Linked DNA regions of Solanum lycopersicum. The protein of the gene in region 3 interacts with the protein of the main gene of each other region in a pairwise test. Links are inferred from orthologs where the notes say so. Each region holds a gene or a part of one and is shown on either strand. Other genes may lie near its edges. The genes, in order: preprotein translocase subunit SECE1; inner membrane protein PPF-1, chloroplastic; preprotein translocase subunit SCY1, chloroplastic.

What was found.
Region 1: the proteins of preprotein translocase subunit SCY1, chloroplastic (region 3) and preprotein translocase subunit SECE1 interact in binary tests that used the Arabidopsis thaliana proteins (3 or more experiments, as listed by UniProt). The link is inferred for Solanum lycopersicum from reciprocal best matches to the Arabidopsis thaliana genes SCY1 and SECE1.
Region 2: the proteins of preprotein translocase subunit SCY1, chloroplastic (region 3) and inner membrane protein PPF-1, chloroplastic interact in binary tests that used the Arabidopsis thaliana proteins (3 or more experiments, as listed by UniProt). The link is inferred for Solanum lycopersicum from reciprocal best matches to the Arabidopsis thaliana genes SCY1 and ALB3.

Annotation. Positions count from the first base shown.
Region 1 is NC_090808.1:65,318,729-65,321,411, forward strand, and holds preprotein translocase subunit SECE1, read right to left. Parts: upstream 1,465-2,683; 5' UTR 1,223-1,464; coding exon 680-1,222; 3' UTR 648-679; downstream 1-647. UniProt on the Arabidopsis thaliana protein: Involved in the import/insertion pathway in the thylakoids. The signal recognition particle is not involved in the insertion of SECE1 in the thylakoid membrane.
Region 2 is NC_090810.1:57,209,938-57,213,594, reverse strand, and holds part of inner membrane protein PPF-1, chloroplastic, read right to left. Parts: intron 2,584-3,657; coding exon 2,510-2,583; intron 2,421-2,509; coding exon 2,316-2,420; intron 2,106-2,315; coding exon 1,998-2,105; intron 1,900-1,997; coding exon 1,796-1,899; intron 1,651-1,795; exon of another isoform or gene 1,305-1,650; coding exon 1,155-1,304; intron 1,086-1,154; coding exon 959-1,085; intron 200-958; coding exon 92-199; 3' UTR 88-91; exon of another isoform or gene 1-87. UniProt on the Arabidopsis thaliana protein: Required for the insertion of some light harvesting chlorophyll-binding proteins (LHCP) into the chloroplast thylakoid membrane.
Region 3 is NC_090806.1:2,907,360-2,911,778, forward strand, and holds the start of preprotein translocase subunit SCY1, chloroplastic, read right to left. Parts: upstream 2,916-4,419; 5' UTR 2,203-2,915; coding exon 2,030-2,202; intron 1-2,029. Other genes in the region: uncharacterized protein, read left to right, coding at 2,943-3,140. UniProt on the Arabidopsis thaliana protein: Involved in protein export. Probably interacts with other proteins to allow the translocation of proteins across the chloroplast thylakoid membranes. Required for normal greening during embryogenesis. Central subunit of the protein translocation channel SecYE.

The DNA.
Region 1 (2,683 bases), on a different chromosome or scaffold from region 3:
GCGCTCCTCAAAGTAAAAGTAAGGTCTGCATAGTAAATAATATAATAGGAATAACCAAGAAAAATTATATTAAAGGTTATTAATTTGATAACCGAAGTATAATAGTAATATAAATTGTAGAACAAGAAACTATGAGAATAACGCTACTATATTGATATGAATGAATGGAAATAGTCAAACACATGCCTCAAATTACCATCAAATTTATCCCATGAAAATAAGATAAAACGCTCGATTAACTACTAATATTTTACTTTAAAGAGGCATGTTATTACTTATTTAAGTTGGGAAATGGAGTTAGCATTATATTATGGTTTTGCTAACAAAATTATCATGCTTGAATAAGTTATACCGTAATTAATTATTTTAAAATTAATTACCATGCAATTATTATTCCACCCTTAACGTGGATAAAAAAAAAAATACTATGATTTCAAGATAACTAATCATCGAATTTTATCCCAATTAAATGTGAAAGCGGATTTTAAAATTAATTTTGAAATTAATTATTCCTTATCATAGGCCTAAAAACTCCAGTTTTTTCAGCTTTTCATATATTCCAGTATTCTCAATCCAAATTTGTAACAACAAAAGGGAAAAATTGTTTAAAATTATTTATAAAAAAAAAGGAAAAAAACACTGAAAAATAAATAAATTGAAAGAACCCTTATCTTCATAATTAACCAAAGAAATCTTGTACACCTTTTCCGGCGAAAACTCGATCGGAAAGTTCAGCCAAAACGGCATTAACAGTTAGCAAAACGACACTGGACCCAGCAATGACCCCAATTACAACCCCAGTAGTACTCAACACCTTACCAAAAGCTGGCCATTCAATTTCCCTTATCTCCTCCGCCACACCACTCCAAAAATCCGGCTCTTTCTGTTCTCTATCCTTCATCAGCTTCTTTATCTCCGACCCCACATCCGACAACACCTCATCCCCGCCGGCGCCTTGATCTCCGGCTTCTGTTTCAGTTTCCGGTAGTGGGTTTTGCTCGGTTTCCGATGAGGAGTTGTTTGAGTTCGATTCTTGAGCGGCTCTTCGGGTAGTGAAGGAATTGGGTTTTTTGGAAACTGAAGTGAAAATTTTGGGTGTTTTGAGATGGGGCAAAATGGGTGTGGGTTTGATTGAGAAAGTGGTGGTGCTGTGGCGGAGGAATTTCGAAGAGGAAGAAGGAAGTGGAAATGGGGATTGTGAGAAGGAAAGTGTATGCGCCATTGTTGCAGAGCTTTGAGTTTTGCTAATTAGTGAATGTTGAGAAAAAAATTCGTAAAGGATGAGTAATGAAAATGTTTTATTTTGTGTGTTATACAACTTACACTATTTGTGACACTTTTTTAAAAGTGGACAAGTAGGATCTTGGGTCTCACTTTATTTTCTTGCAAATTTTAAATTACACCTGTTTTTGATCGCGAATAAGAAAAAATGAGGGAGAAAAATCTTAATATATCAATTGATCGACGAAATCTTTTATCTTTCTTGATAGAGAGTTTGTATTCTGATTTCTAACATAAAAAAACTACATCCAATAGTGAGTATTTGTTATAATTTATTATAAATTGAGTAACTTTATGTTATTTATTGACTGACTTATTCTATAGCTTGAGAGGTTCAAGTTTTTTGAGTTTACATGTATAAATTAAGTGAAAGTACATCAACTAGCCAAGTGAAAAGAAAAATATGTTAGACATTAAAAGATGAAAAAGCATTATTTTGTAAGAATTTTTTTGCTTTCATTTCAAAGTTTAAACTTTAGATATCTAATTAAAGATAAACAAATCGTATTCATCCCATCGAAATATTTTAGCTTGCTCCTTTTTTTCCCTTGTCATCCTCCATTTTGAAGGATATATCTATAGACTTGGGCTTGTACACAAATGACAAATCTTCTCCAAATGATTATAGCTATGTGGGCCTTGGGTTGAGTTTGAAAACTAATAATATCAACAAATTGTAGGGGAACTCTTCAGCCATCTAGTTTATCAGCATGGTCGAAGTATACCTTATTATCAATACAATCTAGCTATATATTTATGTATATTTGGTATAAACTATACTATATATACACACTGTATACATGTTTTGTGAACTAGATACCCAAATGATATTTGCCTCTAATTTTATTTTCCTTTTTCAAACACTTCTTTTATTTGCTCAGTAATCTAAAAATATATATTAGAGAATCAAATACCATTTTAAAAATCTCTTTTGTGTAATCCAATCACAGATGAAGTCTTCAAGGATATCATTTTAATTTGTGAGAAAAATTTCTTGTGACTAGACGACTTCAACTAAACCTAATAGATCATATATTGACTTGGCCTACAGTATTTTTTTGTCACGAGTGCTTGGTTCTTTCAATGCTAATTGTTATAGTCAAAGAAAATATATATTATATTGGAGAGATATTCACAATATTACATCAAAGTTGGATCTAAGTCTATATATAACTCTCACGTACGGTTAAAAAGAGTATGATCTAGTTGTAAACGAAGTAGATGAAAATAAGCTGGTCTTAAATTTAAATTTCGACTGAGACAAAACACGAGATGATTTCTTTTCATCTGTCGTAATTTTGATAAGTAGAGTAACCTGATATTTGTTGCTGATGAGAGGTAACATATATTCAGTAAAATTAATTGAGGTGCACATACTCAGACAGCACGATTATCAATATAT
Region 2 (3,657 bases), on a different chromosome or scaffold from region 3:
CCATTAAATAGATGACCGGCATGAAAATGGCCACTATACACTAACTAAAATACAGATTTGAATATACAAGCTAAAGGATTGATTTACCACTTTATACAGCACGCTTCCTTTTTGATCTCTTACTCTTCCTTGGCCCTGAGTAATTTGGAACTTCTTTACTACTGCTAGAAGCATAAGCCTCTTCCAGTACTTCTTCATCCTGCAACCAATATTTATCAAGTGTATAAGCTCATATTCAGAACAGTGTCTTCCAATTGAAAATTTAAAAGTCTGCCATGCAGCACCAAATAAAACAACTCATCTTGGAGGTACTAAGAAATTATTCTTTCCCTCCTCATCAAACTGAATCAATTAACATTCTGAAATGTTCCAGAGCTACTTAGGTATCCATGAGCTTAGAATTATGTATGCATTTATCTCTAGTCACTGAGTGAAGCCCTTCAAACTTTCAGCTTGATCGCATAACCAATCACTATGTGTTTTTGCTCAAGATTATTGATTCAAAATTGAATTTTCAATTTTCAGTATTTACAAAATTAATTTTCAAATTATTCAGAACACTAGAGACAGATTTTTTTTGTTCCTCTTTGAAGGGTAGTGTTTCTTTTCACTGTCACACAAATGTTCTCTTCTAAGGCTGGCCTAATGGGTCAAACAATAGCATAGTTGTGCATCTAGGTACTATGACCAACCCTAGGTGAACAAATCCACATCTTTATTACATGGAAGTCTGACTTGCATTTTAAGTTAAAAAAGGAAGAATAGTACTTTCAGACAGAGAACTTGTGTAATGCAATAAATCACTATGCCTTGTTAGGCTGGAAGCCATCCACATCTTTTATTATCCTTGACATGCCATCCGATATTCAAATGACTAACAACTAAATTTAATCATGCAAACATGTCTCGGGTGAACTTGTCAGCAGAGATCATATGCAAAACAACATTTGACATTTACCTTGGGCTTGGTGTCATCATCTTGTTCGTCCTCGGAATCAGATATAGAAGCAGAAAGTTCAACCTTATCTGTAGGGAGTGCCTTGGTTGACTTTTTCTTCTTTTCATCTTCCTTTAGCTGCCTGAATCTATTTCCATAAACTTTTGTTAGCTAGGTAGACATTGTAAATTGATCAATTTTGAAATATTATACACACCTCTCTCCAGATTGTTCAGGTTGAGAGGTAGTTCTCTTCGCACGTCCAGCACTGATGATACCACCGGCATCTCCACTCACAGCAGGCTTTGCACCACCTAACTTGCGCAACCATACCTGCTGTGCTGTGGTCAGCACATTATTTGTGAACCTTGAAATTCAACATAAAAGGCACATGTTAAGAAAGTCAACTTGCTTCATTGATTATAATATCCAGAACAAAAATCTACTTTTGAGTTAAAGAGATAAAATGCAGAAGCATGATAATTTGTCATTTGTTGCCTCAATGATGAGAGAGAGAGCTTAAAAGAAAAACAAATAGAAGAGATATGGAGCAATTATTTTGACATGTCTCTCGAACAGAAAGTTTGAAAGCGCTAAGACAGTATAAGGATATCTCTGTGTATAAAGGCAGCAACAAAACTTCTTTATCCCCTCATCTTATTCAGTGATAATGTCACTAGAAACAAGTGAATAGCAAATTCCAGTTTACTGAACTGCAGAGTAATATAGTTTTCATTAATAAAAATGATAATTCAGTAATTCACATCAGTATATTCATCGGAACATATTTGTTTAAGACCAATACTCTAATTCTGTATCAGAGGCACTATTACATTATTACTTTAAGTAAGCGCTCACCAGTAAATTGTTAACCCTGATGGAACAGACAAAGAGAAATAGCCAATCATGAGCGGAAGGAACTTGAAAACCAGAAGTGTGTTCTTTTGAGACGGATCATCTGTCTAAGAAAAGATATCAAGGATTTCAATATAACACGACAGAAGCACCCACAAATTGAGATCAGAAGGAAATAAGCTGGAATTTTAATTCAGAATCATACTTGGGGAGGTTTCATTATCTCCATTGAAACATATTGTGAAACAATAAGCAGGACAGGCAAAATGAGGTAAGCCACCGTGTCATGCCAACCCAAAGGCGGATGCCCATCCTGAAAATGTCAACAGATTTCATGTCCGCAATCATACTAAACTGTACTTAGTATTACAAGCAGAATTATCTTATGGTCCCAAGAATTTATAGGAAAACCAATTTGGTGAGATGAAAGCGGGAATCGTTCCATCCTCTTTGTGATTAGGAAAATTACTCAAAATAAAGTTTCAGACATGGTATAAAGGTGTAATTAGGATATGACACTGACCACAAATGGGAATAGCCAAGAAACTCCAGATCCACTCTGTCGAGCAGCTATAGTTGTCGGGCCTCCCAAAGAAGGGATCCAAAAAAAACCTTCAGTCAGCAATCCCTTTATCAGAATGAAAAAAAGGTAAATAAACTCATTAGTTGTTTGAATTAATAAGTAAGAACACACAATAATACTAACTTCTACAGTACCTCATTTGCCACATTGGAGAGAGCTTGATAAAGACCAATCCAAACAGGTATAGTAGCCAAAGTTGGGAAACATCCTGCAATAGTGTAGCCACAAAAAAGAAAAAGATAAACCACAATGGAAATGCAAGGACTTACTACATTCATTACATGGAAGCCAAACTTGAGATGGGACAAATCCAAACCTTACAGAAGCTCACAGCACTCATTATTTTATGGCATGGTGTCTAAATAGTTATTTATGGCATGGTCTCTTAATAACTGGCATTGAAAATTGCAGTTAGTTGATATGCTACAATTAGCACATGTCAAACAATTTGTAGTTTTTCTATTGCAGTGGGCTCATTAACCTCGTGGAGGTACAACCTGTCCATTAATAATGCAGTTAAGCTTCAAGTCAATGCATATTTAACAGCATACCTTAGCTCTACTAACTCTCTGTCACAACTAAAAAGGCATAGTAATTGAGTGTATATTTCAAACCATCATGTGTTTTAGAATAGTAGTGTTCGCATAATACTTAAATCCTTGGGCATAAAGTTGATTTTTTTAATGCCGTTTATAACCACCTCAATGCAGCTATTCGCCAGACAGCTCATAGGATACTGCACCTGAAAACATACTGCATGTTTCTAAGTAGTTGGGAGCCCTTACTTCTTACAAGCCAAACCCTTTTTTCTTTTACAACGCATAGCCTCAAAGGACTATCGCTAGGATACATACGAAAGAAGAGGTTGACTAACTTAAAGCTATTGTTTATCATTTGAATTAAAACAGGAGAACAAATACATTAAAAAGCAAATTTAAGTTCATAGAGCAGTGTTCTCTGGCATTGAGAAACTAGTTTGGTGTTCATGATCATCTATGGTTTTCCAACCATTGTGTAAACTAAGTCAAAAGTTGCACTTATGTGGTAGTATTTGACTTGGCACAGAGTTTAAGAAAGGAAGACTTTTGAAATTTGTGGTCTAAGACAAACCTTAAGACATTTATGTGGCTATAAATCGTTTTCATTAAGAGTGCAAAGGAAGTTTTCCAGTTAAGTTGTTTCTAATTATAGAAAGGTGACATTCTTTTGGGAAAAACTTAAAAGGAAAGGGTGCCATATAAATTGAGACGGAGGGAGTAAATGTTTAGATGAAGACGCATTA
Region 3 (4,419 bases):
GAGATCAAGGAAGGAGAAAGTGTATGTAAATGGCACATAACAGTTCAAGATTTCATGCACAAATCCAACTACTTCACAACCTCAAAATCATAAAAAGAATGTGTATGATCAACATACAAAAATAGAGAAATAAAAGTTGATATCCAACCATGACAAAACTTTGATGTCCCGAATAAGCATATCCTTCTATAGTTCAACTTAAAGAGTTTTCTTTCTAGTGAGCAAGTGTCTCAACACTCTAAGTGACTAGCTTTTAAAAAAAGGCCAAAGTTCAAAAGAAGAAAAAAAAAGAACTTCTGAGCACTACTTAAATCTTCCCATATGCAATGTTGTCAAAGGTACACTTAAGCCCTGAAGCGAGGCTCAAAACGTGTTGAGCACTTCACCTCGATTAATGTACATTTTAGTGTCATCAACAAAGCTCTAAGGCACACATTCCCTTGCCAATGAGCCTCTTTTAAAGAGGCGGGACCAAACAATTGATGTTTCACTTTATCGTAAAAAAATTCCAATCTCCTTTCATATATTTGCTATTCATGCTTATAATTAGTCTTGGACTAAGCATATATCCCTTTGAGCCTTTTCTCATTGAAGCTCACACTCTATTTGCATATCGCGCTTAAAGCCCCCATGGACCGTAGAGCTTTTTTACGCTGCCGATAAATCGCACCAATCTCCAGGGCTGAACTTTCTCTAGATTCCCTTTCCATAAGTCCTTTTATCTAGTTTCAAGATAAGGGCCCTTACTCTTACATTTCCTCCATTGTTCTCAAAAAAAGAATATACTCAATAAGTCAAAGATTTATTGAACTTCCTCCGCGGGAGAAAAAGAAATTATCCATCTCATGCTTTTAACCGGAAAAAAAACCTTCAGATTATAATTTAGCAATAGGACCATAGTAAAATTCTCCAAAACAAACAAGCATTCAGATTCAGTAATTCTTTTCAGAGAAAACACTCAACATGAAAGTAAAAAACACAATTCCGAAAAAGAAAAGGCAACACAAATGTCTTAAATTCCTCAAAATTAGAAGCTCTATACAAGAATCATCACAATAAACAGCATGGAAGGTCAAGGCTTGTTTGAGGAATCAATGAATTAAAAGTTATAAGTTTTAAACATGACTCATTACAACAAATAGGTGAGAAAGTTCAAGTCTTTATCTACATAACATATTTTCATCGAATTGAGCAAAAACCAAGGCATCTAAGAACAATGAGACTAAAAGGGTATATTCCATTTTCAACAAAGTATCTGTTTGTGGAGTGAAGAAAACCAATATGAATGTTCAAGACTTCTTTGAGGAATCAATGAATTAAAATTTAGAAGTTTCAAACATGACCCATTACAACAAACAGTAAGAAAGTTCAAGTGTTATTTTTTATAACCGTGGTGTCCGGGCTAGCTTGCGCGCACCTCGACTAATTCCACGGGATCCCACCGCCAATAAGCAATAGGTACAAGGTAACTTTGTCCAACAAAGACAAGAACCAATGGAAAGAAATCATCTAGTGTTTTTGTCTGTGTTGAACCTGAGACCTTATCATGGTCAACCAACTACATCGACCACTAGGCCACACCCTCGTAGGCATAAACTTCAAGTTTTTATCTTCTTCACAGCACATTTTTATCAAATTGAGCAAAACCCAACTCAAGTGAGAGCAAAGACACATTTTTATCAAGAAAGTACCTATCTTTGAAATAAAGAAGACCAAAATGGTACATTTTATTTTCAAGGAAGTACCAAAAACCATTACAACAAGCAGAATAAGAAAGTTCAAGTCTTTTCCATTCACAGCATATATTTTAATCAAATTGAGTAAAATCTGAACAAAGAAACCAAAAGGGTTCATTTTATTTTCAAGACAGCACCTACCTTGGATCAAACATAACCAGGATTAAACAAAAAAAAAAAAATTACAACAAACAGAGCAAAAAGCTCAAGTCTTTATATTCACAGCATATAGTTTTTATCAAATTGAGCAAAAAAACTGAACAAAAGGGTACATTTTATTTTCAAGAAATTACCTGTTTGTGGATTCAAAAAGACCAAGATTCCATGATGGGGCAGTGGATTTTTTATGGAAACTGAGGCTGCTGGCTTTACAAATTGGGGTGACTCTATTAACCTTTAAAGAGTGTAGCTGCTTGGAATTGAAGCACAGAGAAGAAGAAGAAATTTCTCTGACTGTTATCAACATTATCCTCTCACACAGACACACACTCTTCAATTTTTATCTTGAAATTTTATTTATGAATTACATTATTCTTGAACTAGAAAGAATATATACTTTAGCTCTTTCTATATATAAGTTCATTGATGATCACTTGGGTCCTTATAGTTTATAATTATTAGCTTTTAGGTTTCCTTAGTTTGAGAAAGTTATATTTTCCTCTTATTGATAATCAAATAGAAAATTTTTGAAGGTTTAAAACGTATCATTTGAAACTCAATGGATAATGAATTCGTCTTTTTATCCTTTTCATTTAAATAAATATCTTTATTTGATTTGAATTCATAATCTATACTTAATTCAAACATCATTTTATTTATTTGAATCATAATAAGTTTGGTGATTTATAGCCATTGTGATGTCATTTGAAAATTCATATTTTTTTCTTAGAATCTATTTTCTAATTGGTGAACTTTTATTGATTTTTATTTTATTATAACATCAAACACCAATAAATATTTCATGTTTCATTTGTCACGCCTTTTTTATTTGATATGAAATTTTTTAAAATTTATAAAAATATGTAAAATATATAAAAAATTATTTAATTTTGACCTTGAGCAGGTTCTTAAACCAAATTTCCCTTCCACAAATAAATAATAAAAGAAAAAAAAACAAGTTTATTATAACAGTAAAAAAGAACACTTCACCAAAAAACTAAAACCCTACTTCTCTTGTAGTCCTACCAAGTTCAGCTCAAAAAAAAAATGGAACTTGGAACTTCTTTCAGTGCTTCAGGTGTCAACAAGACAATGTATTTATCGAACCCCATTACCCAAAAATCCAACTTTCTTCAAAATTCTTGGCTAAATCAATTGAATTTTTCGTTTCCAGTAAGAAAAATCTGTTCTTGCAGAGGAATAGCTAAAGGGTCTACTATCAGCTCTTTGAAAACTCAAGAAAAGGTTAGATTTTTCTTAATGGGGTTCTTTTATATGAGATGAAGTTTCAATTTGTGGTGTTTTCTTTGGACAATTCTTCCTTTTTATTTGTTTGGTTTTTATGCTGAAGACTGTTTTTTTATGTGTTTGTGAATTAATTTTATCAGTTCCTATGTATTTAATGATGTGAGCTAACACCAATAGTATACTCTGTGTTGGAATGTTATGGCACAAGTGGGGTCGGAAGAGGATAGGATGTATGCACACCTTACCTCTACCTTTACTGGAAGAGGGAATGCTGTTTGAATCTTAAAGAATCCATATAACAGCAGAGTTGTTAGCAGTTTAGGAGTTCATAGGGGAATTATGTTTTAGATGCTTGCTTACTAGCTCTGTGGCTACTTAGTACTAATAGAAGAAAAATAGTTTTTTGGGAGCATTCTTGTATGCATATTTCCAGATGACAGGGTGCTGATTAACCTTCCATGTGTTGTTTGTGTCTTTTTTAACTATCTTTTGATAGAAAAAATCTTCCCATTGTGTGAGAGATTGGTAAGTTGCACATGGAAAATGGCTTTTTAGCTCTCGCATTTGCTCGTTTTCCCTAATTTTAAAAGCACTAGTTTGATTGGCGAGTTTTAAGCATGAGATATGTGCATCTAAGGGTGTAGTTTATTGGTCAATGAAGTAGGTGTAAACATTGGAGGTCAGGACTCAAATCCTAAAGAGATAAAGATATCCCTTTTAGTTGTATGTTTTCGTCCGGACTTACTTTAGTGGACTGTCTAACTTTAGTTCCTTGCAAACACATCTGCTAATTAGAACTGATCTTTATAACATCAGCAATTGCGCATCAATACCAATCAAGTTGCAGGCTGCTATATGGATCTTCATTGTACACAGTGTTCCATTTAAGCTTATCTATCTATTTTGAGGACTCAACATAACTTGACTAGTTTTATCCTGAATGTCAAGTTACCACAACTTTTCTCCTTTATCACGGCTACCATCTAGGTCAATTTGCTATATGGTATATGCATATTACATAAAGGTGCAATCTTGATGATAAACAGTTGGGTTTTCATTCTCCTTCTTTTAGGATTCTCTCCTCCTTTGCCACTGCTGGCACGATTCTTGTCAGCTTGTTGGGATGAGACAATTATTCAATAGAATTCATGAAAACCACCTTTCACAACAGCCATCACAGTTCTAAGCAGTAAAACAACAGGGAAAGAAGTACACAACTTCAACCCAAAATCACCAGAGTCCTCCTTCAACAGCAATGCAAGATATTTATCGTTTA